Linked DNA regions of Cricetulus griseus. The main gene of each other region encodes a partner of the protein of the gene in region 5 in a complex. Links are inferred from orthologs where the notes say so. Each region holds a gene or a part of one and is shown on either strand. Other genes may lie near its edges. The genes, in order: Rgs8, Rgs2, Rgs10, Trpc5, Gnai3, Grm4 and Casr.

What was found.
Region 1: the proteins of Gnai3 (region 5) and Rgs8 are in contact, whole or in part, in a crystal structure (PDB 2ODE), measured with the Homo sapiens proteins. The link is inferred for Cricetulus griseus from reciprocal best matches to the Homo sapiens genes GNAI3 and RGS8. Residues at the interface, in NP_006487.1 of Homo sapiens: Glu65, Gln68, Ser75, Val179, Lys180, Thr181, Thr182, Gly183, Ile184, Val185, Gln204, Ser206, Glu207, Lys209, Lys210, His213, Ala235, Glu236, Asp237, Glu238; in NP_001095920.1 of Homo sapiens: Thr76, Glu77, Phe78, Ser79, Glu81, Asn82, Ala117, Pro118, Glu120, Val121, Asn122, Ile123, Asp124, Phe125, Gln126, Arg128, Leu153, Lys156, Asp157, Ser158, Arg161, Arg164.
Region 2: the proteins of Gnai3 (region 5) and Rgs2 are in contact, whole or in part, in a crystal structure (PDB 2V4Z), measured with the Homo sapiens proteins. The link is inferred for Cricetulus griseus from reciprocal best matches to the Homo sapiens genes GNAI3 and RGS2. Residues at the interface, in NP_006487.1 of Homo sapiens: Val179, Lys180, Thr181, Thr182, Gly183, Ile184, Val185, Gln204, Ser206, Glu207, Lys209, Lys210, His213, Ala235, Glu236, Asp237, Glu238; in NP_002914.1 of Homo sapiens: Glu104, Phe105, Glu108, Asn109, Glu143, Ala144, Pro145, Glu147, Ile148, Asn149, Asp151, Phe152, Leu180, Asn183, Ser185, Arg188.
Region 3: the proteins of Gnai3 (region 5) and Rgs10 are in contact, whole or in part, in a crystal structure (PDB 2IHB), measured with the Homo sapiens proteins. The link is inferred for Cricetulus griseus from reciprocal best matches to the Homo sapiens genes GNAI3 and RGS10. Residues at the interface, in NP_006487.1 of Homo sapiens: Val71, Val72, Ser75, Glu115, Val179, Lys180, Thr181, Thr182, Gly183, Ile184, Val185, Gln204, Ser206, Glu207, Lys209, Lys210, His213, Ala235, Glu236; in NP_001005339.1 of Homo sapiens: Glu62, Phe63, Ser64, Glu66, Asn67, Ala102, Ser103, Ser104, Gln105, Val106, Asn107, Val108, Glu109, Gly110, Leu137, Lys139, Tyr140, Asp141, Ser142, Arg145.
Region 4: the proteins of Gnai3 (region 5) and Trpc5 are in contact, whole or in part, in a cryo-EM structure (PDB 8GVX), measured with the Homo sapiens proteins. The link is inferred for Cricetulus griseus from reciprocal best matches to the Homo sapiens genes GNAI3 and TRPC5. Residues at the interface, in NP_006487.1 of Homo sapiens: Arg205, Arg208, Lys209, Trp211, Ile212, His213, Phe215, Glu216, Glu245, Leu249, Ser252, Asn256, Lys257, Trp258, Arg312; in NP_036603.1 of Homo sapiens: Thr27, Glu32, Glu33, Glu56, Ile57, Tyr58, Tyr59, Asn60, Lys125, Pro128, Thr129, Leu130, Met131.
Region 6: the proteins of Gnai3 (region 5) and Grm4 are in contact, whole or in part, in a cryo-EM structure (PDB 8JD6), measured with the Homo sapiens proteins. The link is inferred for Cricetulus griseus from reciprocal best matches to the Homo sapiens genes GNAI3 and GRM4. Residues at the interface, in NP_006487.1 of Homo sapiens: Ala31, Lys32, Val34, Lys192, Asp193, Leu194, Thr219, Phe336, Thr340, Ile343, Ile344, Asn347, Leu348, Cys351, Gly352, Leu353, Tyr354; in NP_000832.1 of Homo sapiens: Pro616, Lys619, Ala620, Gly622, Arg623, Glu624, Arg676, Ile677, Ile680, Phe681, Gln683, Gly684, Lys685, Arg686, Ser687, Val688, Ser689, Ala690, Ile694, Ser695, Pro696, Phe781.
Region 7: the proteins of Gnai3 (region 5) and Casr are in contact, whole or in part, in a cryo-EM structure (PDB 8SZH), measured with the Homo sapiens proteins. The link is inferred for Cricetulus griseus from reciprocal best matches to the Homo sapiens genes GNAI3 and CASR. Residues at the interface, in NP_006487.1 of Homo sapiens: Ala31, Lys32, Gln304, Glu308, Lys314, Asp315, Thr316, Lys317, Glu318, Ile319, Tyr320, Thr321, Phe334, Asp337, Ala338, Thr340, Asp341, Ile343, Ile344, Lys345, Asn347, Leu348, Glu350, Cys351, Gly352, Leu353, Tyr354; in NP_000379.3 of Homo sapiens: Lys644, Ala645, Asn647, Arg701, Val702, Val705, Phe706, Ala708, Lys709, Pro711, Thr712, Arg716, Trp719, Phe801, Ile869, Val872, Arg873, Thr876, Ala877, Ala880, Phe881, Lys882, Val883, Ala884, Ala885, Arg886.

The regions. Positions count from the first base shown.
Region 1 is NC_048598.1:38,008,659-38,012,158, reverse strand, and holds part of Rgs8 (regulator of G-protein signaling 8), read left to right. Parts: intron 1-1,751; coding exon 1,752-1,918; intron 1,919-3,422; coding exon 3,423-3,500. UniProt on the Homo sapiens protein: Regulates G protein-coupled receptor signaling cascades, including signaling via muscarinic acetylcholine receptor CHRM2 and dopamine receptor DRD2.
Region 2 is NC_048598.1:46,447,451-46,451,512, forward strand, and holds the start of Rgs2 (regulator of G-protein signaling 2), read left to right. Parts: upstream 1-1,262; 5' UTR 1,263-1,311; coding exon 1,312-1,421; intron 1,422-2,434; coding exon 2,435-2,536; intron 2,537-2,644; coding exon 2,645-2,706; intron 2,707-3,281; coding exon 3,282-3,448; intron 3,449-3,705; coding exon 3,706-3,900; 3' UTR 3,901-4,062. UniProt on the Homo sapiens protein: Regulates G protein-coupled receptor signaling cascades. Inhibits signal transduction by increasing the GTPase activity of G protein alpha subunits, thereby driving them into their inactive GDP-bound form.
Region 3 is NC_048596.1:72,430,592-72,432,879, forward strand, and holds the end of Rgs10 (regulator of G-protein signaling 10), read left to right. Parts: intron 1-1,328; coding exon 1,329-1,475; 3' UTR 1,476-1,788; downstream 1,789-2,288. UniProt on the Homo sapiens protein: Regulates G protein-coupled receptor signaling cascades, including signaling downstream of the muscarinic acetylcholine receptor CHRM2.
Region 4 is NC_048604.1:36,233,620-36,237,774, reverse strand, and holds the start of Trpc5 (short transient receptor potential channel 5), read right to left. Parts: upstream 2,801-4,155; coding exon 2,423-2,800; intron 1-2,422. UniProt on the Homo sapiens protein: Forms a receptor-activated non-selective calcium permeant cation channel. Mediates calcium-dependent phosphatidylserine externalization and apoptosis in neurons via its association with PLSCR1.
Region 5 is NW_023276806.1:49,009,574-49,013,073, forward strand, and holds part of Gnai3 (guanine nucleotide-binding protein G(i) subunit alpha), read left to right. Parts: intron 1-3,025; coding exon 3,026-3,068; intron 3,069-3,171; coding exon 3,172-3,313; intron 3,314-3,500. UniProt on the Homo sapiens protein: Heterotrimeric guanine nucleotide-binding proteins (G proteins) function as transducers downstream of G protein-coupled receptors (GPCRs) in numerous signaling cascades.
Region 6 is NW_023276806.1:232,654,377-232,658,375, reverse strand, and holds the start of Grm4 (metabotropic glutamate receptor 4), read left to right. Parts: upstream 1-1,199; coding exon 1,200-1,718; intron 1,719-3,999.
Region 7 is NC_048597.1:53,509,209-53,512,708, forward strand, and holds part of Casr (extracellular calcium-sensing receptor), read left to right. Parts: intron 1-2,453; coding exon 2,454-2,686; intron 2,687-3,500. UniProt on the Homo sapiens protein: G-protein-coupled receptor that senses changes in the extracellular concentration of calcium ions and plays a key role in maintaining calcium homeostasis.

The DNA.
Region 1 (3,500 bases), on a different chromosome or scaffold from region 5:
GACATAGAATTAAAAAGTGCCAGGGTTTGAGAGATAGCTTAGTAGGTAAGACTGCTTTCTTTGCAAGGATGATGACCTGAGTACAAATCCCTAGCACTCATGTTACAGGCCCGGCCTGACTGCTCATGCCTGTAGCCTCTGAATTGGTGAAGAGAGACAGTTGATTCCTGAGAGCTTGTTGTCCTTAGGAATCAACTTAGGTAAAAGAAGCCTTCTGCTTCAGTGAGAGAGCCTCTCTCAAGACACCCCAGCCTCCTGTTCTGGACCCAGCACATCCATTCACATGTGTGTACACCGGCATACTCAGGTGTCACACACACACACACACACACACACACACACACACACACACACACACACACACGCAAAGAGAGATGGGTTTGTTGAACTAGGATTAGTTGTACCAGTCTGTCATCTCAGGCTTGAGCCTTGCTTGGGCTATGAAGTGAATTAAAGACCAGCAACAACATAGAAAGGATGAAAAATGCCACATACCTTGGCAGCAGAGCACTTGCATAGTATACGAGAGGATTGGGTTCACTGCCCAGTGCCAAAAATAGTAACATGAATTTTACAAAAGAAATAAAAATGGTCATTGAGCCATGTTTGTTCACCATTTTGGCACCTTATTCTTCACTTTGAGGACCCTTTCTAGGAAGCTGTCATTGTCATTCCAACAGAAGAGAGTGAGTCAAGAGTTAAAACAGTTGATTAAAACTTTTTCAAATAAAAGTGCAACTGGAAGTGCATGCTATAAATAGCTGTTATTTTCCTCCCCCGCTTATCTGTGTGGATGGAAAGCTTGGCAGGACATATGACATTGATTAGTAAGAGGAAAGGCTGGATTAGCCATTAGATAAATTGGCAGGAAAATTATACTCGACCTCAATTAAAGCCTATAACCTGGGTCAGCGACATGGTTTAGTAGGCAAATACACCAGTTACAAAGCTAGAGGGCCTGAGGGCCATCCCCAGGTCCCACATGGGAAGTAGAGAGCTGTCTCGTGCAAAGAACTGTGTCCTTTGACTCCCCCCACATAAACACACACACACACACACACACACACACACACACACACACACACACACTCGCACCCAAATAACTGTAACTTTAAAAATGTTTTAAAAATCTAATTTGATAGGCAAATTTCAAAGCAAAAATGAATAGACTAAAAAAACTGCCAAATACACATCCTCAAGGATTTCCTTAAAGACTCACAGAGTGCTATCTTATCCATGCAGCAGACTGAACTGAGTTTCTATTTGATGTGTTTCTGATAGCAGTAAAAGGTTGGCTCTGAGACATGTATACTCCTGTCCAGTTTGTCTTACAGCTGCCCATGTCTTCTCTCTGGTGTGGATTCCTTAGGGCAGAGAATGTATAGTGCCTATTAACTTGAGCAACACAGGCTTACCACCAGGCCTGGGGCTCAGCCAACTCTGCATCAACGGGCAGGCAGGCTTTATCAGAAGTGACCAAGTTTACCCACTGTTGTCATTATTATGGGATTTTAAACATTTCTCTTGGATATTCCACACTGGCCCTTGGACAAGAAGCTTTCTCTGAGGAGAGCTGTGTGTCGTGTGTGTGTGTGTGTGTGTGTGTGTGTGTGTGTGTGTGTGTGTGTGTGTGTGTAAAAGCAGCAGGCTTGGACAATGAGGACACCATCACAATAGGACTGTTTTTCCCGAAACAGCAGTCTTGGAATTAAGCCTTCTCTTCCTTCCTTTTCTCCCACCTCTTTCTGTAGATGGAGTGGCGGCCTTCCGTGCCTTCCTGAAGACAGAGTTCAGCGAGGAGAACCTGGAGTTCTGGCTAGCCTGCGAAGAGTTCAAGAAGACCCGGTCGACTGCAAAGCTGGTCTCCAAGGCCCACAGGATCTTTGAGGAGTTTGTGGATGTGCAGGCTCCACGGGAGGTGTGTTGGTCATGGAAACTGTCTCCTGAGGTCTTGGAGGGCATTTAAGCCAAGCCCCCAGGATTTCCTCCAATCCCAATGGGCCTCCCAACTGTGGTGGATCCTGATGAGAAAGGGTAGCTTTTGAGAAGTGGAAGATCCAGGTTTTCATGAAAGGAGATGCATTAGGAGTGGTTTCTGTCTGCCTGACACGTGTTACCGCAGTGGTTTCACAAGAGTACGTTCCCTGGAGCCCATGTCTGTTTTCCTATTCAAAGCAGTATGGGGGCCGCTGAATTGACTCATTGAGTAAAGGCACCTGCTGCCAAGCCTGATGACCTTAGTTTGATTTCTAGAACCCACATGATAAAAGGAGAGAAATTGTCCTCTGCACAGAAGCGTGCACACTCGTGTACACACACACACACACACACACACACACACACACACACACACACCCTAACAAACAAGCATGCAATAACTTAATGGAATAAGTACCCTCTTAAAGGATTTTGTTTGTAGTCTCAGTTCTGCCACTATGTGTGATCATCCTTAACTTATTCAAACTCTCTGAGTCTTATCTTCCCCAGTGTAAGATAGGATAATGCTACTTGCCTTTCAAGGCTACGCTGTGTTAGAGGTAAAGCACCTACTGAGTGTTTGCCACTGCTCATTAATGAATATCTACAGTCACTTTCATTGCTGTATTATAATTATGCATAGCTGTTCTGAGTTTTAATGCAGCATGTCCCTCTGGAGGCTTTAATTGATGAACAGTTTGCAATCTGTATTGAGGTTTGGCTTTGACTTGGGGTGTGAGACCTTTACAAACTTGGTAGAATGCTATTGGCCCCAAATGATGACACATAGAGAGATGTATGTTTACCAGGGTCTGTCTATACTGGGCATCCATTGGCCTTGGTGGTTAAGAAAGAATGAGATGGAAAACTTAGGGGAACCTTATTAATATCTGGCTGGAGACTCAGCTTAGTGTGGAATGAAGATTCTTGTTTAGGATTTGTTGACTTGAGGATTCTTGCCATGGTTCTGGTACTAATCCAACCTACTTTAGACAAGTTTTGTAGTATTTCTTTCTTTTCTATATTATTATTATTATTATTATCATCATCATCATCATCATCATCATCATCAAGAAATGGTCTCCTTTCATAATGCTGATTGTCCTGGAACTCACTCTGTGAACCGGGCTGGCCTTGAACTCACAGAGATCTGCCTGCCTCTGCCTCCTGAGCACTGGGATTAAAGGCGTGCGCCACCACGCCCTGCTGGTGTCGCTTTTCTTCACTTACCTTATTTACAATTTAAGACTACCTGGACTTCAGACTCCACAGCATTTCTGCTGGAATCCCCAGGAACGAACCCTGTAAAAGCAGTTTGAGAAGCATCCGTGACCCTAAAGATGTGAGATACTGCATTGATGGTTGTTCTGTAGCTTGGACCCACTATCCAGAAAGTGCCTTGGCCTTTGAGGGCCTGTGACCTTGCTCTCTCTTTGTATCTCCAGGTGAATATCGATTTCCAGACCCGAGAAGCCACAAGGAAGAACATGCAGGAACCATCCCTGACTTGTTTTGACCAAGCT
Region 2 (4,062 bases), on a different chromosome or scaffold from region 5:
GTGACTTCAGACTTTGTTCCCCAATTCAAACCTGGAGCTCAGCTACCCGCAGCTTGTAGCAATGTATTGCCTCGTTCCAGTTTGAGGAATGTGCCTCTATTTTTCTTTTAGTAAGGTCTAGTGTGAAGCAGAATGACCATAACTTCGTTGTTAATCTATCTGCCCTGACTTCATGGGAAAACCACTTAGGTATTCCGCCGCATCACTCCCGTAACATAGGAAGCTGAATCAGTTTGTAGTTGAAGTCATGTATTTGTTCTTACAGATCAGGGCATTTTAAAACCTGCGGGAGTAGAGATGGGTTTCTGAAGAACTGACAAATGAAGCTTGTCCAAGCAAACTTTACACCTCCCGACTCTCACATCCAGCTCTAGCCTCACACCCCCACCCCTTAATTTAAGCAGGTGAATATCTGGCAAATTCTAAGCCTGCCCAACTAAGAATGACTCATTAGGAAATCCTGATTCCTTACACTCGGAAACTACAAACGATCCGAGTGTATCAGAACCGCAAGATCTCGGGTTTCCCTTTGTGTTTCTCTCTATCACTCAGATCTGTGCCGTGCCCGCCTAGAGACGCCCTTCAGATCTCCTGGGGAATGACCCTGCAACGTCACAGCCTTCTGCAGCCAGGCGTTTAAAGATCAAAAATGCAGAATCATTTAAAACACCGGGTTTTAATAGGCACTTTCTCCTTCTTCCTCCCTGACCAGCGTGCGTTCCCATAAGGAATTCCAAGATGCCTGAGCGAACAGAGAATCACAGTACTTAGCTCAGAAGCCCTTGTTTCGGGTTTCTCTAGTTGTTTAAGTCCTTCCCCGAAATAGGTGGAGTGTGGGTGGGGCGGTAGGGCTCTCCCCCTGCCCGCTGCAGTGTATAGGTGTCCCGGTGCATCTAAAAGATCGTGAACAAAGCATGAGTTGCAAAGGCGGGGCTCGAAAAAAGATAAAAGGAAAGGAAAAGGTACGGCCTTAAGGAAAAGTCACGAACTCGGGAACCCTGCACGGCTGGGGCCACCCGAACAAGCGAGCAGGGATCCCGCGCTGTCCCCGCCCTCCGCCTCCCCGCCTGTGTGCGCACGAGGCTGCGGCACCTACGTCAGCAGCGCCCTGGCTTCCAGACCCTTCGGCTGCCGCCGTGACTGCCGCAGGCCCGTGCGACCCCTCCCTCGCGCCGTCTGCAGCGGGCCAATCCGCACCCTCGAAAGGCGGAGCCGACGCCTCCGGGCCCCGCCCCTGTTCCGCAGCCGGCCTTAAAAGACCGCGGCGCGCGCCCGGCTGCAAACAGCTGCGGTGGCCGCCGGAGTCTTAGTATGCAAAGTGCCATGTTCCTGGCTGTCCAGCACGACTGCGTACCCATGGACAAGAGCGCAGGCAACGGCCCCAAGGTCGAGGAGAAGCGGGAGAAAATGAAGCGGACGCTGTGAGTATGCCCTCTCTTCCTGAGAGCTCTTACCCCGCATGGCTTTGCTGCTCGGGACCGACCTTCCTTCCATCTCGGCTTTGACTTGAGCTAACTCCGGTCTGCACCTCTGCAGAGAAAGCGGGGGGGCGGGGGGAAGAAAGAAGGAAAAGTCAGCTTGCTAGATCTCGTGGTTGTGCTTTTTTCTGTGTGAGCGTAGAGTTTCAACTATGGGAAGTTGTTAGGAAGGTGGCGGCGGTAGCTGGGCTGAGAAGGCGATGGCTGGCTTTTTGTTCTGCATGTAAGGTGACATGAGTATTCTGCAGCTGAATAGGATCCGCAGCGCCCATACATTGCATTGTGAGGTCTGAGCTGCTTACACAGCTGCTGGGTAATGTTTGGGATGATTCCGAATGTATTCGCTTTAGATACGGTTTTAAATCATAAAATAGGTCTCATCCAGTCACGACTGTGGAATGAGTAATTTGCTCTGCAGTATCTGCTGCGGAGAAGCACTGTGGGAGGTCGCGGAGGGGGAGCTCGGGACACACACACACACACACACACACACACACACACACACACACACACTCACACACCACACACCACACACACACACACACCCCACACACACACACCACACACACACACCCCTCTATGCACCGCCTGTATCTTGGACCAGACCCTCCTGCCTCTAGCACAGAAAGGGAAGGAACATCAGCTGGCTCAACACACGGCAGTTCTCAATCATTAATTGTCTCCAAGTTGTAGTTAACCATGCAGAAAAACCGCTACCTTTTTCGTAGGTCAGAAATAACTTGTGAAAATTTTAAATATCCTAGCTGTGTTATGTAGTCCTATGCTGGGTTCAATCCATGAGGTGCTGGGTTTAAATATCCCACATATGGCATGGACTGTTCTTGCCTGTCTGGTTTGTTTGGTGACTGACCATATGCTACTGCAACTGGTGATAATTTCACTATTCAAGAATTGCAGCTTGAAGTATTTTTTTCCTCTCCTTTTTTCTTTTCTAGCTTGAAGGATTGGAAGACCCGTTTGAGCTACTTCTTGCAAAATTCCTCCACTCCTGGGAAACCCAAAACTGGCAAGAAAAGCAAACAGCAAACTTTTATCAAGTAAGTTGCAACTCCTGTACTTGCAGAACAGAATGTCTAGCCATTGAACAGGAGAGGGGAACTATTATGTGTGGTTTATATAGCTCATGTTCGGAACTTCTCTTGCAGGCCTTCTCCTGAGGAAGCGCTGCTCTGGGCAGAAGCATTCGATGAACTGCTGGCCAGTAAATGTAAGTTAACCTCTTGAATTTGATCTTTCACCAGCATCCCAAGAGCCTAGAAATGTTGTGTCTACACCACAAATGAGCAGCTAGCAGGAAGTGCATCAGACATTAGCACCATTTACTTCATAAAGCCTGCTTTTCTTTCCCCTCGTCCTCCAGTTTAATCATGGAAAAGCATGAGGTATTCACTTCAGGAATAAAGTTAGCCTAACTTGTGAAAGTTAGGAAGAAAAATTAGCCTAAAAATTAAAACGACTTACTCATAGTTAGGGTTGAGTCAGCTTTTCCATTGCATAGAATATTTTCAAAAGCCCTAGTTCCCAGAGAACTAATGGATGACTGTCCTCTAAATATTTATTTTGCATTGACGGTGAAGTTCAGTATATTTTGTTGTCGTCGTTGCAGAATGCAAAGTTAAGCATTTTGCCTGCTGGCATCTTAGTGCTTAAAGAGCTAAAGTGTGAGAATGACAGGTTTGAGTGAAATCTAGAAAGCTGATCGATCATTCTAGTACTAAAAGAACCATGTGTTATCTGGTCACTCAATTTACATTCTACATGCTTGTTTTCCTGTGCTTTCAGATGGGCTTGCTGCATTCAGGGCGTTTTTAAAATCTGAGTTCTGTGAAGAAAATATTGAATTCTGGTTGGCTTGTGAAGACTTCAAAAAAACCAAGTCACCCCAAAAACTGTCCTCCAAAGCAAGAAAAATATATACTGACTTCATAGAAAAGGAAGCTCCCAAAGAGGTAAGAAAACAAGTTATTGGTGTCAGCATAATTTGGACATCTTCAACCCCATAGTGAAGCACAAGAATTGGATACACCAGTTAAAGTGCCAGTGGGAAGAGCTGGGGCTCCCCACCCCAGCTATCCTAGCATTTCAGTTTTTCCAATCTGACAGTGAGAACTGATCACATATTACATCTTTTGTGTTTTGTTATTAAGCATTGATTTATAATGTTGGATACCAAATAAATCAAGCTTTGTTTTATTTTTGGTTTCAGATAAACATAGACTTTCAAACAAAAACGCTGATTGCCCAAAATATCCAAGAGGCTACAAGTGGCTGTTTTACAACAGCCCAGAAGAGGGTATACAGCTTGATGGAGAACAATTCTTACCCTCGCTTCTTGGAGTCAGAATTCTACCAGGACTTGTGTAAAAAGCCACAGATCACCACGGAGCCCCATGCTACATGAGGCCAGGAGCCCCCAACAGAGGACATTTCATTGTCTCCCAAGACGAAAAGGCTGTGACCTGCCAAAAGACTGACCTTGAATTCAGCCTGGGTGTTAGGAAACATCACTCAGAACTATTGATTCAAAGTTGGGTAGTGGATCAGAAAGCCAGCAACCTAGGAC
Region 3 (2,288 bases), on a different chromosome or scaffold from region 5:
CAAGGCACCTCCAGCCTTCCAAGTAGATGCCCTGAGGCCTCAGCCCCATGAGTGTTGGGAGAAGGCAGGTTTAAAGATGTCAGGATTTTGCCACCCACTTGGCAACCCCGCCTGACAGTGAATGGCATTCTGGAACTTTCCATTCAGCCAAGCCTGAGCTAGTGTTGTACAGCAAAGCACCTTGGTGTGCCTTGTGGCTCAGAGAGAGAGAGAGTACTCTACATCAGCAGGAAAATGTACCCTTCCTTCCTTTCCTTCTCCATGTTGTAGGGTCAGGGAAGGTGAGCAGGAGTGAATCGGGGATCCAGGGGGCGTGGCCCAGAGACAGCCTCCACAAAGCACATGTGGCATGCATAGGGCCAGCAGATGCAGCTCTTTCTAGTCCCCAGGACTCAGGCTCCATCACGGGTCCTTCTCAGTGTGCCTCACTGCCTTCTAGACACCTCTGCCTGTCCAGCTGTGCAGGGGTCTGCCCTGCTGCTGACTTCTCTGCTCTCTGCACCTGAGACAGGTCCTGCAGCCTCTCCTGATGGAGACTGAATGTGCACTCCCTCTCCTGCATGAGATATGCTCCCCTTGTCTCTCGGTGTGGTCATATGTTTGAGATCTCTAACACCAAACTTACTGGGTTTTAATATTTGGCTTTAAAAAGATTTTGTTATTGTTGTTTTTGAGACAAGGTCTCACGTAGCTCAAGCTGGAGTCACACTCACTGTGTAGCTGAGGCTGAGCTTGAACTTGAGTGCCGGGTTCACAGGCGTGTGCCACTGTTCCTAGCCAGCTGAGATTCTTAAAGGGCCATTTCAGGCTGTGTGTTTCTATACTTCCATGGAAAATAAAGATGTATTTGTGCATGTGTTCTCTAGTCTATAGAGTCCATTGAGACCATTACACGATGAACAAAAATGTCTAGGATGTCTGCCTTGTCCAGCACAGCCCTACCCTGGTGTTGTTCTTGTTATTATAATTAGTGTGTGATTGTGTGACGTGTGTGTCAGTGTGGGCATGTACATGCTATGGCCTGTATGTGGAGGACAACCTTTGGAAGTCAGTCTCTTGTTCTACTGTGATTCTTGGGGATGGAACACAGGTCATCAGGCTTGCGTAGCAAACACTCATTTGTAACTACTGAGCCATTTCATAGGTCCCATACTAGCATGCATTTGTGTGTGTGTGTGTGTGTGTGTGTGTGTGTGTGTGTGTGTGTGTGTGTGTGCTCACGCCAAGTGCACAAGGGTATTATTCTTTGGCCCTTGGTAGGTCTTTGACATGGTGACTCATGGTCTGAGTTGGCAGTAGCCCTCAGGCTCTCTCTCCTTCCCCTCTAGATCTTCAATCTCATGAAGTATGACAGCTACAGCCGATTCTTGAAGTCTGACTTGTTTTTGAAACACAACTGTACTGATGAAGAGGAAGAAGAGCCTCCCGACGCTCAAACCGCAGCTAAACGTGCTTCCAGAATTTACAACACATGAGCCCGAGAGCTAAGACCTTCACCACCACCACCACCACCACCCCCCATGGCGCAGAGGATGGACTCTTGGAACTGTGCAGGGCTGTCATTGCTTCGTTATGTTTGAGGACTGAAGTATGCAAGACCTCCCCACAAGATATGTGTATTTTATTAACGGTTTGACCAGTAAAGTAACTCCTGCATGTTAGCTAACCCTCCATTAAAAACAAAAGTAGCTTTAAAGTTTCCGTTCACAAAACAAATGCGATTTCTCCAATACTGGATACTCACAGCATTTTAAGCTTAATTAAATTCCCTGAGAGTCCACAAGTGAAGCCCTTAGCCGCTTCTGCTCTGTTAGCCTTCGCCTCATCTTTCTGGCCTGGGCTGTGCGCATCCAAGACTCTTGGTCTGACAAACACAAGAGTGGTGGGCATTGTTTGCTGATTGCTTTGGGGTTGGATTGTTCTGGAGAGAAGTCCAGTGCTGTCTAAAGCAGATCTCTGACAGCTGCGAAAGATTCAGGGAGTTGAATGACAGCTTTAGCAAAGGGCTGTTATTTCTCATATGGGTGGGGGGGGGGTGTGGGGAACGACTGGTCCCTTAATCCATGGCATTTCACGCAACACACACGCTTGAAGTTCATTTCCACGGAAACACTATTTTAGGCAAGGGGAAAAACAAAAGCGAAACCAGTCAGGGCTGGAGACTGCTCCCAGTTGTGTCCAGTGGGACCTCAGCATGAGATGTTGGGGTTAATGGGATGTTCCCCCTTTCCCTTCTACCGCCTAGGGTCAAATCAACCCCGCACCTTCTCCGGCCTTTCTTCATTTGT
Region 4 (4,155 bases), on a different chromosome or scaffold from region 5:
AACATTCTAGCAATCTAATCCCAAGATATACTAATTTAATACTTAACATGCTGAGGGATTATAAGAAAAATACTATTAAGAGTCTTTGTTTTCCATAACTATATCATCATGTTTCTACAATAACATAACTCTTGGTATGTAAAATAAAATCACTGCAGTTCATATCAGTCAATCTTCTCAAATCCAAGCTGAGACGTGTCATTGACATTGTGTACAGTGCTAGTGTGTGCAATGTAAATGGTGCGTATTGAGTGTTCAGAACCAAGGCTGCAATGAGGCTGTGTGATAGAGACATCAAGAATTATCGTTGCCAGAAACAACTGAGATTCACTGCATGTGGCGAGTCTGAATGAAGTTTTGATTGTTGTGCATTCAGATGCCTTTTAATGTTGCTGACATTTAAAAGACCAATGTTATTATTTCTAATTTTGTGTGTTTGTGTGTCTCTGTGTCTGTGTATGTGAGCGAAGGTACTTGTGGAGACCAAAAAAAAAAAAAAAAAAAGGCATAGACTATCCTGGAACTGAGTAATAGGTGGTTACAAAACACCCAGCTTAGGTGCTGGGTATTGAACTCAGGTCCTCTGCTAGAGCAATACATGTTCTTAATGATCCAGCTCTCCAGCCTTTGGTGCCAAACTTTTTGCAACAGCCTGATTCAGTTGTGTGATCAGATCCTAGTGATTAAAAAGGATTAGGAGCTTGAACTCCAGCTCTAATATGATCTTAAAAGAGCAATTTAACAATCCCATTTCTCAACGGCAAACAGGGATGATGATGATGACAACAATAATACTAACAATAGCAATAAAGAATAATAATATCTAGCTTATAGAGTTCCCTGGAGGTTTAAATGGAGTAAGTCATGTTAAGATGCAAAGCCAGTGATGGTGGCATATTACTTATTCATGAAATAAAAAATTATCAGGTACTTTGTGCTGGTAGTGTGAGATAGCAAGGAGCAAGAGAGATGGGATCTTTACTTTCTTGGGTACTGTACAAGCTGATGGGGAAGGGGATTTAGGCGTTTTCCTCAAGGAACTGCTAATCTGCCAGTTTCTGATTTTTACTCCATTTTCCAGTCTGTCAATTCCAGTACTTTGTGAGTTGCCATTTAGTTTATTTTCATTGCTCATTTCCTAAATGAGTCAGTATTGAAAGCTAAAGATTTCCTTCAAACCCAGCTTTGGCCATATCTCATAATACTTGAGGATGACTGTTTTCACTCTCCATGTTCCTCAAGATGCTGATTTGTCTCCTATATTTGACCAGCTCCATTTCCATTTCTTCACCGTGTTGCTAATATAAGCAAGAAGGCCCTCATCAAAGGTTTATTAGATAAGCCACTTTATCTTGAGTATCTGGCCTCTAAAACACAGTGAGCAAAACAAGTCTCTGCTTTATAAAGTCCATCACCTCAAACATTTTCTCCTAACAATGGGAGACAAACTAATAGAGGACATGGTAGTACTAAAGGATAAGCCAGCCAGACTCTTCAGAATGGCTTCAGAGCTGCAAAAAGAATTGATGCAGGGAGACTAATGAGAAAAAAAAATTCATGACAGTGTAGGACAGTGATTCTCAAACCTGAGTGTGAATCAGAATCCCCTTGAAGGCCTGTTAAGGCACAGCTTGTTGGGCAGCGTCCCAGAGCTTATGATTGAGTACCATTGTAGTGGAGAACTAAGACTTTGCGTCCTTCATAAGTTCTCAGGAAACGCTGCTGCTGCCAGTCTAGAGGCCACACTTTGAGAAACTCTTATTTAGGAGAGTGATGACAGAACAGGCCATACTAATGCTAACGGGCTTAGAGAGGAAACAGAGAGCGATGGAGAAACCATAGGGGTTGAACATGGGCACCAGATTTGACTGAGAAATCAAACATACCAAGTTTCTGTGACTTAGAGACTAAGAGACTCATAGAAGCAAACCCACAAACACCTATGAGGAAAATTCAGTCACATAGCGTGTACTAAGAAAAATAAAGGAGGTTTCTAGTTTTGTTTGCACTATGGCACTCGGGGCTAAAGTCTTCTTGTCTTTTCTGTGGAAGAAAAGCCTCCCAGGAGAAAGTGCAGGTCTGGGTTTGGTCTCTTTTGTATCGTGTAACATTTGAGTAAAGGAAGGAAACGAAGATATAATGGGAGGTGGTAAAGAAAGTGGCAAGATTTTGCATAGTCTAAACATGACAAACATGCCTTTGCACTGTTAAGTATTGAATGTATTTGAGTAACTAAGAACAAAAGACAAAGCAAAAGAGTAACCTGGCGGGGACCATCCAGGGCAGCTCTGGTGGAAGCTCCTGAGACAACTGATCACAGTTTCTAAGTCAGGGCTTCTCGATTCCAGACTGCTGAATCTTGCCTTGGAACTCTGGTGCCCTGACATTGTGGCTGCTTCCAGCCTATTGCGAATTCTCTTACCTGCTTCTCTCCACTGGGCTTTCTGTAGCTAAGAAGAAGCTCCACAGCGCCCACCACTTCCTTGCGGATGGCATAGAGTAATGCATCGCCGACATACACACTGTGGTTCAGCAGTAGCTCCATGATCTCTAGGTTCTCGTTCTCAATGGCAATGAGCAGGGCGCTCCTGCCCAAAGGATCCATGCAGTTGATGTTGACATTGTAGTAGATCTCGGCCTCCTGCAGTGCCTGTTTCACGGTGGCATAATCCCCCTTCTCCACGGCATTAAGGAAGGCCTTCTCTTCAGCAGAGAGCTCAGTCTCAGCCCTCACGATTTGGAGGGGGATGCGGTCTCTGTATGGTGAGTAATTGACCTTTTTGTAGTAAAGCTGGGCCATGGTTCATAGCAATTTAGAAAGCTAAGTGTGGAGAGAGAGAGAGAGAGAGACAGAGGAAGACGAAAGAAAATTTTAGTTACCTGAAGGTTTCAAATGGCCATTTACTAATCCCTTTCTAATGGGATTTCAAAACCCCAAAGCATCTGAATGACAACGTTGTTTCCCTGTTGCTGAGGAGCAGAGCAGCAAAAGCCCAAGCTTTAGTCACAATGACTTGGGCTAGAACACTAATTTAACACTTAGTGGCTCTGGGATCTTGCACAAGTTAATCAAACCCTTTACCACATTTGTTGCTAAGGTTATTCATATTAATATCATTAGCAAGTTGTCATCTAGTGTTTACCAAGTCTCATGCTAGAGAATAACTCCTACTTTGAAAAGCTACTTATATAGTTAAAGGAGTTATATATTACCAAATCTCCTAAGACACAGCACAGCTTACACTGAAATTTTCCTCCCCTTCCATTGCTGAAAGTACCCATGGTAATACTTCTGATTAGTGGTGTTAAGTTGCTCCTTGCTTAGGGCCAGATTCATTTGGGCTCTGGGGTCTGTGGGTCTTTTAAAATCGAAATTTCAAGCTTACATTTGCCACTGTTCTGGATGCACATTTCAGAATGGAGTACTATTTTAGGAGCTAGGAATATAGTTCAGGTAGTAGAATGCTTGTCTAGCATCCACAAAACCCTATGCTGGATACCTAGCTCCACATGAGCTGGATATGTGCATGTCTGCAATCCCAACACTCAGAGGGCAGAGGAAGGAGAATCAGAAGTTCAGGGTCATCCTTGGCCACAAAATGAGTTCAAGGCTGACCTAAGATAATGAGACCATGTATTTAACAAAAGACAAAAGGGAATATATATATATATATATATATGTATATATACATATATATTATATACATACATACATTCATATATGGTTTAGTGTTAAGTGCAGCTCTCTTCCTTGGCAGTGGTCATTGGAGAAGTATTGACTCCAACAAGCCAAAGCCATCCGCAAAAGATGAGCATGGACTCACTCCCTAAAGCCACCTCTGATTTTTTTCTGCCACCATTCCAGACTCTGAAACTATCAGACTGGAGAATCAATTTGATTTAATTCCAACAAATGAATGGTCTGTTTTGTTTGTGCCAGGTCTAAGGTCAGATCACACTTAACAGAACTGATTGTAAAGTGAAAACTAAATAGATTTTTACTGAGCTCCAGCACTGTGTTTACATTTTCTCTGGAAGACCAAGAAAATAAAAGCACCTTTGCCTGCAATCATACAGAATGAATCACAAGGGAGAGCTCTTGCTTTGTGATTTACAGATCAAATTTCTTCACATTCCTCATTGACTACTTGTACT
Region 5 (3,500 bases):
AGTGCATTATCTTGCATATTAAATGCACATTTGTGTTGGGCCATGGTGGTGCCCACACCTTTAGTCCCAGTATTCAGGAAGCAGAGGCAGTCGGATCTCTTTGAGTTCAAGTCCAGCCTGTTTTACAGAGTGAGTTCCAGGACATTCAGAGCTGTTACAGAGAGAAACCCTGTCTTGAAAAGCGCCCCCCCCCAAAAAAAACCCAACACATTTGTTGAATATTTATTTGATTAATTATTTGGCTAATTGCTATCAGGCCCAGTTGGGGCCCCTGGGAATACAGGGAAGAACAGCTTGGCAGAGCTTTTAGTGGGGAGATGAGAAAAGTAAGTCTGTTGTGAAGACACATGCTGTGAAGAAATGAGATGCTGCGGGGTGGGAGGTATTCAGGTAATTTCATCAGGAAATGTTCTGAGGGGAGCAGAAATGTGAGTGAAGAAGAAAATCTTGCAAAAATTGTTTCAGTCCAAGGGAACAGCAACTGGAAACTGTGAGTCAGAGTCTAGGCTAGTAAGAACCAGTTTTGCATGTTAGAGGAAACATGAAGAAGCTGGCTTGACAAGAGTGTTGAGGATAGAGTGGAGACAGACCAGAAATGAGGGTGAGGAGGTAGGCAGCGACCAGAGTACATTGGACCTTATTGCCCACATGTTATAATTTGGGTGTAAATAGAGGTCATGAGGCAACTCTTGTCAGTGTTGTGACATGATCCAGACAGGCATGCTATACATTTGTGATCCCACAAAGAGTTCAAGGCCAGCTTGGTCTACAGAGAGAGTTCCAGGACAGCCAAGACTACACAAAGAAACCCTGTCTTGAAAAACCTGTTTGTCCCTGCTTATATTCTGATTCTGCCCAACTATGTCACCTCCTGTCTAGCCAATCAGCCAATCAGTGTTTTATTCATTAACCAATAAGAGAAACATATGTACAGAAGAGCATTCCCCATCATTCCTTGGCAGGTTTTGTTTTTGTTTTTTTAAGATGTATTTATTATGTATGCAGTGTTCTGCCTACAGGCCAGAAGAGGGTACCAGATCTCATTATAGATGGTTGTGAACCACCATGTGGTTGCTGGGAATTGAACAGGACCTCTGGAAGAGCAGCCAGCGCTCTTAACCTCTGAGCCATCTCTCCATCCCTGCTTGCCAGTTTTGACCTTAGCGAGTTAGTTAAATGTTAGTACCATTTACTGGGATGACAAGACTAATGGAAAAGCAGCTTTGTTTGAGCTAGACATGGGGACTGAGTAACTGTCAGTATTGGGCATTAAGTTTGAGATGCTTATGGGATATCTACTGTGATATATAAGGTAGGTGATGAATTTAAAGCCAGATTTGGAAAGTAAGATTGGAGGTCTTTGGGAATCTAGCACATTCCAGCTTTGAAGTGAAACTGAGTGGAAATACTTATTTGCCAACTGCTATATAACTGTGGACAATTTCCCTGACCTTTCTGCTTCATGTATCTTATTATAAAATGAGGGTAATAGTGTCTACCTTACAGAGGTGTGAGGATTGGATGAGTTAATATTAGCAACATACATAGAACATCCTAATGTGTGCTGCTCTTTGGAGGTTAACTTTTATTCATGAATAGTGCTTCAAACCATCAAATTAGATAAGATAGGAAAAAAGACAAGGATCAACTTGGAAAATGCAGATTTGAAAGGCAGAGTTAGGCCTAGAAATGATCAATTAGCTTGCCAAAGGGTGCAAGTGGCTTGGGGACCTTGAGAAATAGTTTCAGGAGAGTGGGAATGACTTGGAGGTACTTAATTGGAGATTTTAAGTATAGATGACACACTGGGGAAATTTTGCTATAAAGAGACACAAAGAGGGGTAGCCAAGATAGCTGCTCTGTGAGTAGAGTTGCTTGTTTTTAAGTCTGAAAACCTGAATTGATCCCTGGGATACTCATGAGGAAGGAGAGAACTAACTCCTGTAGGTTGCCCTCTGACCTCCATGTATGTTCTGTCATTTGTGTTGTTGTTCCCACCCCCCAACCCCCATAAATGAGTTAATGTAATAGAGCCTTTAAAAAAGAGGCACAGGGAAGATGGAGTAGTAGAAAGGAAAATAGGTGTCGGGGGAGGGTCAGAGAAAGGTAGGGCTGGGATATGTATAATGGTTTGTGTACTAAGACTGACATAGTAAGAGGAGGAAAAACAGTGACATTTCAGTGATATTGGACACTCCGGCAGCCACAGGTGAGGGGAAAAGAAGTTGATAAGTAAATAAGTAGAGCTGTAAGAACATTGAAGAGACAGCTCATCCATTGATGAAGTAGAGAATAGTAATGGAGATACAGGTAGATTAGTAGATTTGGTTATGGAAAAATGAGGTAATGTTCTCTGGTTGCCTTTTTCTAAAAAGGAGGGAGCAGGGTTGTCATTTATGAATCAGAAGTAGCCTTTGATGATAGAGAAATGTGGTAGCGTTTTAAGAGGCATTTTGGAAGATGGACGAATTATTGAGCACGGAGGATCTGGCAGGCAGACTGTCAAGATCTGAAAATTATTTGACCTTTGATCTTTAGCCTAAGTGATTCCAGTTGACTAAGGAGGGTGATACAACCCTTCCGGGAAGAGGAGCTATATCATGAAAGGTAGAGGCAATGTTCTGCTGTTTGGAACCTTTCTAGCCCTGTGACTGAAAGGATTGCTTCTGGAACATTTCTTAGGTCCATTGGCAGGTCACAGAATTAGTAACTGTGACTAGGACATAGGCCAAAAATTCACAATTGCTCTTTTGCCTGTGTTCTTTGAGTATATCATGTTTTCTGATGTCACTGAAAATATTTGTGTTGTTGTCTTTGAGTGGTGTCTGTTTTGCACAAATGATACCAATATAAGAAAAGCAAAATGCTCTAGTTGAGAAACTCACAGTTTTCCTGATAGACATAAAAGCTCACCAAAATTTCACAGAACCTATGTTTTCTGTTAACTTAGGCTTACCAGTCACATGACTCTATACCTTTGACTACAGAGAAACTCAACATCTATTTTTGTTGTTTTTCTTTTCAGGTGCTGGAGAATCTGGTAAAAGTACCATTGTGAAACAGATGAAGTAAGTTCACACAGGGCCTGAATCTCTCCCTCTTTATAGAAAGTTCATAATGTTTTTGTTTTTTCATTCATAGTATTGACTTGTGGTTTTCTTCTTTTTGAAGAATCATTCATGAGGATGGCTACTCAGAGGATGAATGTAAACAGTATAAAGTAGTTGTCTACAGCAATACTATTCAGTCCATCATTGCAATCATAAGAGCCATGGGACGGCTAAAGATTGATTTTGGGGAAGCTGCCAGAGCAGTAAGTATTTCTCATTTCCTCTTCACTTGCTGTTCTTTTGTAGATGTAGTTAAGCCAAATTTGCGTCAGGTTTTAGGGAACAAGAAGATAAGATGGTGTAAAATACTGTGTACTTATTTTTGAAGTGCTGGCTATCTGACTCAATAGATAGCAAGTTACTGCTACAGGCAGAGCCCTGGAAATGAGA
Region 6 (3,999 bases), about 180 Mb from region 5:
GTTTTCTCCTCTACCCTGCAGATAAATATTTAATCACAACAACAACAACAATGATGACAATAACGTAGAGGGGCTCAGGCTGCAACCCGAGCCCCACTAGGGCACAGAGTGGAGGGAGGGAGGCCAGAGGAGACCAGGAGACCGAGGCAGGGGGAGGGGCAGGAGGAAGGAACCCGGCTTCTCCCTCTGCTTGGGCGCTTCTATGGCTGGGGTGGACATGTGGAAGTGGGGGACCAGCTCTGAACCCCAGATCCCCACTTCTTCCTAGCCTTTGGCTTGCAGCTCCTGGCCTGGGCCCAGTCAGCACCCCAGCCTTCTTGGGCAGGCTGCTATCCTCCTGGACTCTGGGTCCCTCAAGACTGGGTGCCACAAACAGTGGGTTCCCCAAACAGCTGTTTCTTGTTCAGAGCTAGGGTGGGAAGTATCTGTGGAACTTGGCATAGACTTCTGCTGGGGCTTCAGTTTCCTGTTTCTATCATGAGGCTGGACTGGCAGGATTGGTGTTTTGCTATAGCTTCTCAAGGCATGCTGAGGGGCCCATTCCTCCCCAGCCATGCTGGCTGTCCCTAGGAGTCCTCTCTCAGAGGCCTGGCCTGTGAGGGCAATGGGTCCAGGCCAGCGGAGGTCTTTAAACATGACCCAGTTTCTGTTCCCAGCTCTGCATTTCCTCAGGAGCTGGGCCACAGCAGTGAAAATCAAGTAGAGATTTATGGCGTCTTTGGCGATAACCTCTGGGCTCCCTCTCCCAGGCTCCTGATGAGGAGTCAGAATAGTAAATGTCTTCTTCAGGCTGGGTTGATAGTCTCTCTCTCTCTCTCTTTTCCAGGTTGGTAGCAGTGATTGGAGCTGTTTTCTCCTCGATGCAAAGATCATGCCAGGATAGGAGCTCACCTCCCTTTCCACAGCCAGACACGGCAATCTGGCCTGCAGGACATGGGGACAAGGATCTGAGACCTCCTGTAGCTCTGGCCACTTTCTGTCGTCTGTGGATTTGGCCTGTGTGGGCCACTGAGCACTGAGCTCTGTTCAAGTATCAACAAAGAACAGGGGAGAGCTGTGGAATGGGCCGGTCCGTTGGCCGTCTCCAGCCACCCTGCTGCTGAAGCTGCCCTGCTCATGTGTACACAGGCCGTGGGACCCAGGGCCTGCTCAGGCTAGGAGTGGGGCCCATTATTCATGGGTCTCTAGGCCTTTTCGAAATGTCTGGGAAGGGAGGCTGGGGCTGGTGGTGGGCCCGGCTGCCCCTCTGCCTTCTCCTTAGCCTTTGTGGCCCCTGGGTGCCTTCATCCCTAGGGAAGCCCAAGGGCCACCCCCACATGAACTCTATCCGAATTGACGGGGACATCACGCTGGGGGGCCTGTTTCCTGTCCATGGCCGCGGCTCCGAGGGTAAAGCCTGTGGGGAGCTGAAGAAGGAGAAGGGTATCCACCGGCTGGAGGCCATGCTCTTCGCTTTGGATCGCATCAACAACGATCCGGACCTACTGCCCAACATCACGCTGGGTGCCCGCATTCTGGACACCTGCTCCAGGGACACCCATGCCCTGGAGCAGTCCCTGACCTTTGTGCAGGCGCTCATCGAGAAGGACGGCACGGAGGTCCGCTGTGGCAGCGGTGGCCCACCCATCATCACCAAGCCTGAGAGAGTGGTGGGTGTCATTGGAGCTTCAGGGAGCTCCGTCTCAATCATGGTGGCCAACATCCTCCGCCTCTTCAAGGTTAGTGCCCTCCATGGCCCAGGGCTCCTGGCCGGCGACTCCTTCCTCCTCCTCCTCTTCCTGATTGTGTGGGAGACTGTATGAGAACGGAGGCCACCCTCTTGGCTCTGGGGCCGGATCCAGTGTTTGAAGCTTGGGCGGGGCTGAGAGAAGTGAGGGTGGGGCTGAGACATAGGACTTGGTGCTGACCATGGTTCTGAGGCAGCGTCTGCCTTAGCTCCTCCTTCAGACCCTGAGCCTGGAGGGGGTTGGAAGTGTGAAGGAACATAAGAGAGAGGCAGACAGACAGATGGAAGACAGCTGGATCGATGGAAGGGCAGACAGACAAAATATAGAATGGAAACCACAGTGTTGCAGATTGCCAGGGGGATAAAGCGAGACTTTTGTTTTGACATTGTTTTCAAATAATTGCAATTCCCAAGAAAGATGTGTTTTTTTTTTTTTTTTCTGGTTAGTTGAGGAAGGCCCTGGTGGCCCTCTCATCCCGCCCTTCAGTTCTGGCTGGAGAAGAGTGTCCTGGTTTTCAGATGGGGGTGGGATTGTGGGTCCAGGGGCATGAAGAGAGGAAGAGGGAGCCAGCTAATTCAGCCTTAGCCTGGTTACCTGAACCTAGCCCTGGCCTCCCTCCCACCCTCCCCTCTGCCCTTGCCCTCTGCCCTCTGCCCTCTGCCCTCCTCCTTTACGACTTTCTCCTGTTCCTTCCCAGCCCCTCCCTGCCCCCTCCACCACCTCCCTTCTTCTCTTCCCGGGGCAAGAGCTGCTGATTTGCAATTCAATTGGAGCCAAGTGCTTGCTAAGCTGCTAAAACAACTGAAAGCTACTGGGGAGAGGGAAGAAACGGTACAAGCCTTTTACCAACAATCATGTCCCTGCTCCCCACCCCCACGCCTGCCTCTCTTGCTCTGTCTGTGAGCGGGAGGAAGAGGACACTGGTCCCCTCTAAGTCTTTCCTCTGGGTCCTTTTGTCCTGGTCTCCAGAGCTTGCTGAGGCCTGGGAAAGGCTGTTTGGACCACTTGGGGTGGGAGGAGAGGAAGCCAGTCCCTCTCATCCTGAGCTCATCTGTCTAACTCTGAAGACGGGCCAGCGCCCAGGATGCTGTGGTGCGTGTGCCTCCAGCAGGGGTGAATGGAGATGAAGCTCTCTGTTTGGCGGGATAGAATTTAGCCATGGCTAATCTCAGGCAACCCCTGCGGAGTGCATACCCTGCCCACATCTGCAGCCTTCATAAATGTGTGTGCACACGTGTGTGCGCCTGCTGTGGTCCCAGGGTGGCCTTTTCCTGAGCGGTTGGTTTGACTTGATTTGGGTGTAGGAGCAGCAGGAAGCTCTGAGGAGAAGACGCTCCGGCAGTGGGCATTTCAAGGAGTCCCTGGGGATCCCATTGTCCTGATCTCAGAGTACTGCATTGGAGTGAACAGCCTGCTTGGGTCCGCCCATGCCTCCAGCCTCACGGAGAAGCGGGGACAATGGGAAGACTGGGGCTGGCTGTCCCAGGCCTGTTCCACTGATGACTGGGACAGCTGAGTCATCTAGGCCCTGCCAGGCCTGGGAGGAAGGCAGCCTGGGCCACCCAACTGTGCTCCCAGTGATGTTGGCCCAGCCTCTAGCTCATAGCAATAGAGCCTTGTATGGTGCTCAAGAGTGAAGGGCCCTCCCAGTATCCACTTCACCTCTGGGATGGGGGAGCCACCGGCCCCCGACTTTCTGTGTGCTGAGCCCACAGAATGGCCTGTCTGGATGTTAGACTTCTAAGCACAATCTCAGGAGTACATGTATCTGGGGACAACGGGCTCAAAGCCCCCCGAGATGGGGGTAGCTGGTATTTCTGTGCTATTCCGCCCAAGGATGGGCACAGTTGGTATGATAGGAGCCAGGGCTCAGGCCTCAGGCCTCCTTGTTCCCTGTCCTGTTGGTCAGGTGTGAAGAGGTCTGGCTGCTTGGTCTGTGCCTGTGTGAACACAGGGATCAATGTGCATTGTGAGTGGGCAGCTGCATGGCCTGCTGGTCTGTAAAGAGAGGGAGGGCATCCAGAGGCCATGGTCTGTGCTCCCTAGGTCCTCTTAGTTAATGCTCTAAGCTGGGACTAGAGGCGTCTTCACTAATGAAACTGATAGAGATGAGAGCCTGGGCCAGAAGCTCAGCAGCCATTACAGAGGCAAGAAGGTTAACCTGGGGAGGGTGGGCAGGGCAAGCTCAGAACGAGAGATGGCTCTCCAGCTCTGGGGCATATGGGTGTCTGTCCCTGTGTGTGTGTGTGTGTGTGTGTGTGTGTGTCTGTCT
Region 7 (3,500 bases), on a different chromosome or scaffold from region 5:
TAAGAGTATGTGCAAGGAGCTGGAGAGATGGCACAATGGATAAGCACACTTGATATGCAAGCATCAAAGGCCTGAGTTTGACTCCTAAAGCCTATGTAAATGCAGCCCGGGTGCCTGTTGCTCCCGAGCTGTGACAGCAGAACAAGGGGATTACTGGGATTTGCTGGCCTGAAATCAAACAGAACCAGATGTTCTTCTTGTGCCTCTGCGGCACGTACGCAAAGGCATATGCACATGCACACGCATGCATATACACCACATTCACACACAAAAGTCTTCTCTGTCAAGCCAGGTGGTGGGTGCGTACACCCTTAATCCCAGTACTCAGGAGCCAGAGGCAGAGGCAGAGGCAGATTTCTGTGAGTTCAAGGCCAGCCTGGTCTGTAGAGTGAGTTCCATGACAACCAAGACTACACAGAGAATCTCTCTCTCTCTCTCTCTCTCTCTCTCTCTCTCTCTCTCTCTCTCTCTCTGTCTTTCTGTCTGTCTGTGTCTGTGTCTGTGTGTGTGTGTGTCACACAAACACGCAGGAGCCTATGGAGACCAGAAGAAGGCGTTAAGGCATTGTATCTGCTGGAACTGAAGTTACAGGTAGTGGCAGCATCCTGTGGGTGCTGGGAACCGAACCTGGGTCCTCTGGAAGAGAAGTAAGCACTGTTAACTGCTGAGTCAGCTGTCTCTTCAGTCCCAGAAATTGTGTCTTTTAAAAAATTTAGTCGGAGCCGGGCGGTGGTGGAGCACGCCTTTAATCCCAGCACACGGGAGGCAGAGGCAGGAGGATCTCTGTGAGTTTGAGACCACCCTGGTCTGCAAGAGCTAGTTCCAGGACAGCCTCCAAAGCCACAGGGAAACCCTGTCTCGAAAAATAAAATAAAAAAAAAATTATTCGGCCATTTTGTTGTTATGTGTTTGGTTTCAGGAGGTGGGCTATAGAACCTAGATTTTAATTTTTTTGTCTGAATCTGCTTGATTTAGTCCAGTTTCACTGGATATCCAGCATGACATTGACTAGACATAGTGGTGACGGACATACTTGTCTTATTCATGACCTTATGGGGAAAGCATTCAGTAACCCAGTGCCTAAGGAAGAAGAGGTTGTTTGAGCAAACTGTGGGTGTAGCATTTCTAGGAACAGAGCCACCAGTACTTCATTTCTCTTTGTAGCCAAATAGTATCCCATTGTAAGGAGGTGTTTTATTCATCTACTCGTTCAAATGATGGACATTCAGATTCTTTCCACTTTGGATCATTATAGTACTGTTGCTATGGACATTTGCACGCACATGAGTTTTTTATATGACATATTTAATTCATTAAATCCGAGTGTAGCACTACCGAATTGAACAGCAACTCTGTATTAACTTTTTGTTAAACTGCAACAAGTTTTTCCAAAATCAAGTCAAAAAGTCAGCGCTCAGGCTGAAAGAGGCACTTTAGCTGCCCCAGCCTGCCCTCACTGTACCTCAGGCAGGAAAGTGGGATCCAAAAGGGACAGGGAGAAGGGCTCCTGGGGTGGTGGAGAAATGAGTGTGCCATACCCATGATGGAACCTGTCTTCTCACCTGGTGCCTCAGCGCTGTAGAACCCAGGCTTAGCAGAGCATAGCACTTGCTTACAAGCATGGGCTCAGGATCCTGGACAGAGAACCTCAATTTTCTGTACTTCAGTTTCCCAATTAATAAAATGGGGAGTATAACCAGGCATAGTGGCACGTGCCTTTAATCCCTGCACTCAGGAGGCAGAGATGGGCAGATCTTTTACATTCGAGATCAGCCCAGTCTACAAAGTGAGTTCCAGGCCAGCCAGAGTTACACAATGAGACTCTCAAAAAAAGAGAAAAAAAGGCATGGGAGGGGGTGTTCATGTCATTTTTGTGATTAAAAAACATAAAGCACTAAGAACCATAACACAAAGGCAGTAAAATGGTATTTAAAAATTTAAATAACTCACTGTATTAGCAATTACTATAGTTGCTTTTTGTAAAATGGCTCTGTGACCCTCTAAGACCTTAGATAAACTCAAGGATGCTCCATGACTGTCAACAGTGGGCTCCAGCCACAGTCTTTCTGTTTCTTCCTTCTACTCCACACTGAATTTTGGCAGTAAGACATCTCCACAGACTCAAAATCACAGGGACAACAAAATTCTCAGTCTTTCTCCTCTCCTTCCCCACACCCAGCTCAGGGCATGACGGGAAGGTGGTGGCTCCACAAGGTCACGATGCACCTACAGAGGTCTTCACTTGACTGTGGTCAGGGGAGATATATTCTTTTCTCCTCCCCATCTTCAAAAGAGTGTTCAGAATGTGCAAGCGCTCTAAGAAAAACTGGAGAAAGGCCACCTCTCGGTTTCAGGTTTCTTCCTTTGTGGGATGAAATACTGACAGAACACAACCAACATAGCCACTGGTGGCATTCCACGGCTCCTCTTCGTTCATCTCTGTTTCTCTTCAGGTCCTGAAGCACCTACGGCACCTCAACTTTACCAACAACATGGGGGAGCAGGTGGCATTCGATGAGTGTGGTGACCTGGTGGGGAACTACTCCATCATCAACTGGCACCTCTCCCCAGAGGACGGCTCCATCGTGTTCAGGGAAGTCGGGCATTACAACGTGAATGCAAAGAAGGGCGAGAGACTCTTCATCAATGAGGAGAAGATCCTATGGAGTGGGTTCTCCAGAGAGGTATGAGCAAAGCATGCCATGCTGCCACCACAGACCGGGGACCACTGGCTTCGGGGGCGGGGCTGGGATTCATCACCAGCTTCTAGGATAATGTCCTTTTCCTATGTTCCCCAGCTCTGAGTGTCCAGGCTTCCCATGAACTGCAAGAGTGTTTAGTGATGAGAGGAACCCTGGGAACCTGAGCTTCATGACTCAACTCTCTTTTGACTCCCTGGCTAGTCATTAAGTTTTCCAGGCTAAAACTTCCCCCAACCAGAGCAAAATATTTTTTGGCAAAAAAAAAAAAAAAAAAAAAAAAACTCTTAAGTCATTAGCTTGCAAGTGGCATTGAGGAAGACATCCTACCTACCCTGGGTAGGAGATTTAAATTTGAGATTGAAGGGACTTCTTTATAGATTGTCATAATGACCAGGAAGTAATAATGGCCTTCAATACTTGGGGTTCAGGGATGCTAAATGCCCAGCATGCATGGGACAGTCTTTCACAGTTTTTCCATCTAGCCCAATTTCCATTAACCATGCAGCAATGGAGCCCAAAACAGAGCTCTGTGATTTTAGAATGAGGGTATTCAAAAAGCTCCAGGCTGACCCATACACCAGAAGGGCCATTCATTCCATGACCAAGAGGAAGAAGCTTGTGACTGGGCCAGGTGTCCTACCCCGCATCACTGTATCTGAAAGACTGATTAATAACCCGAAGCCCATGACTTGGTGAAGATGCTCATTAAGGAAAGACATGTTGAAATGATGACCATCCAGTGGTTTTATGCTAATGTACTGGTTAACTTTTGTCAACTTGACACAGTGAGGACTATCT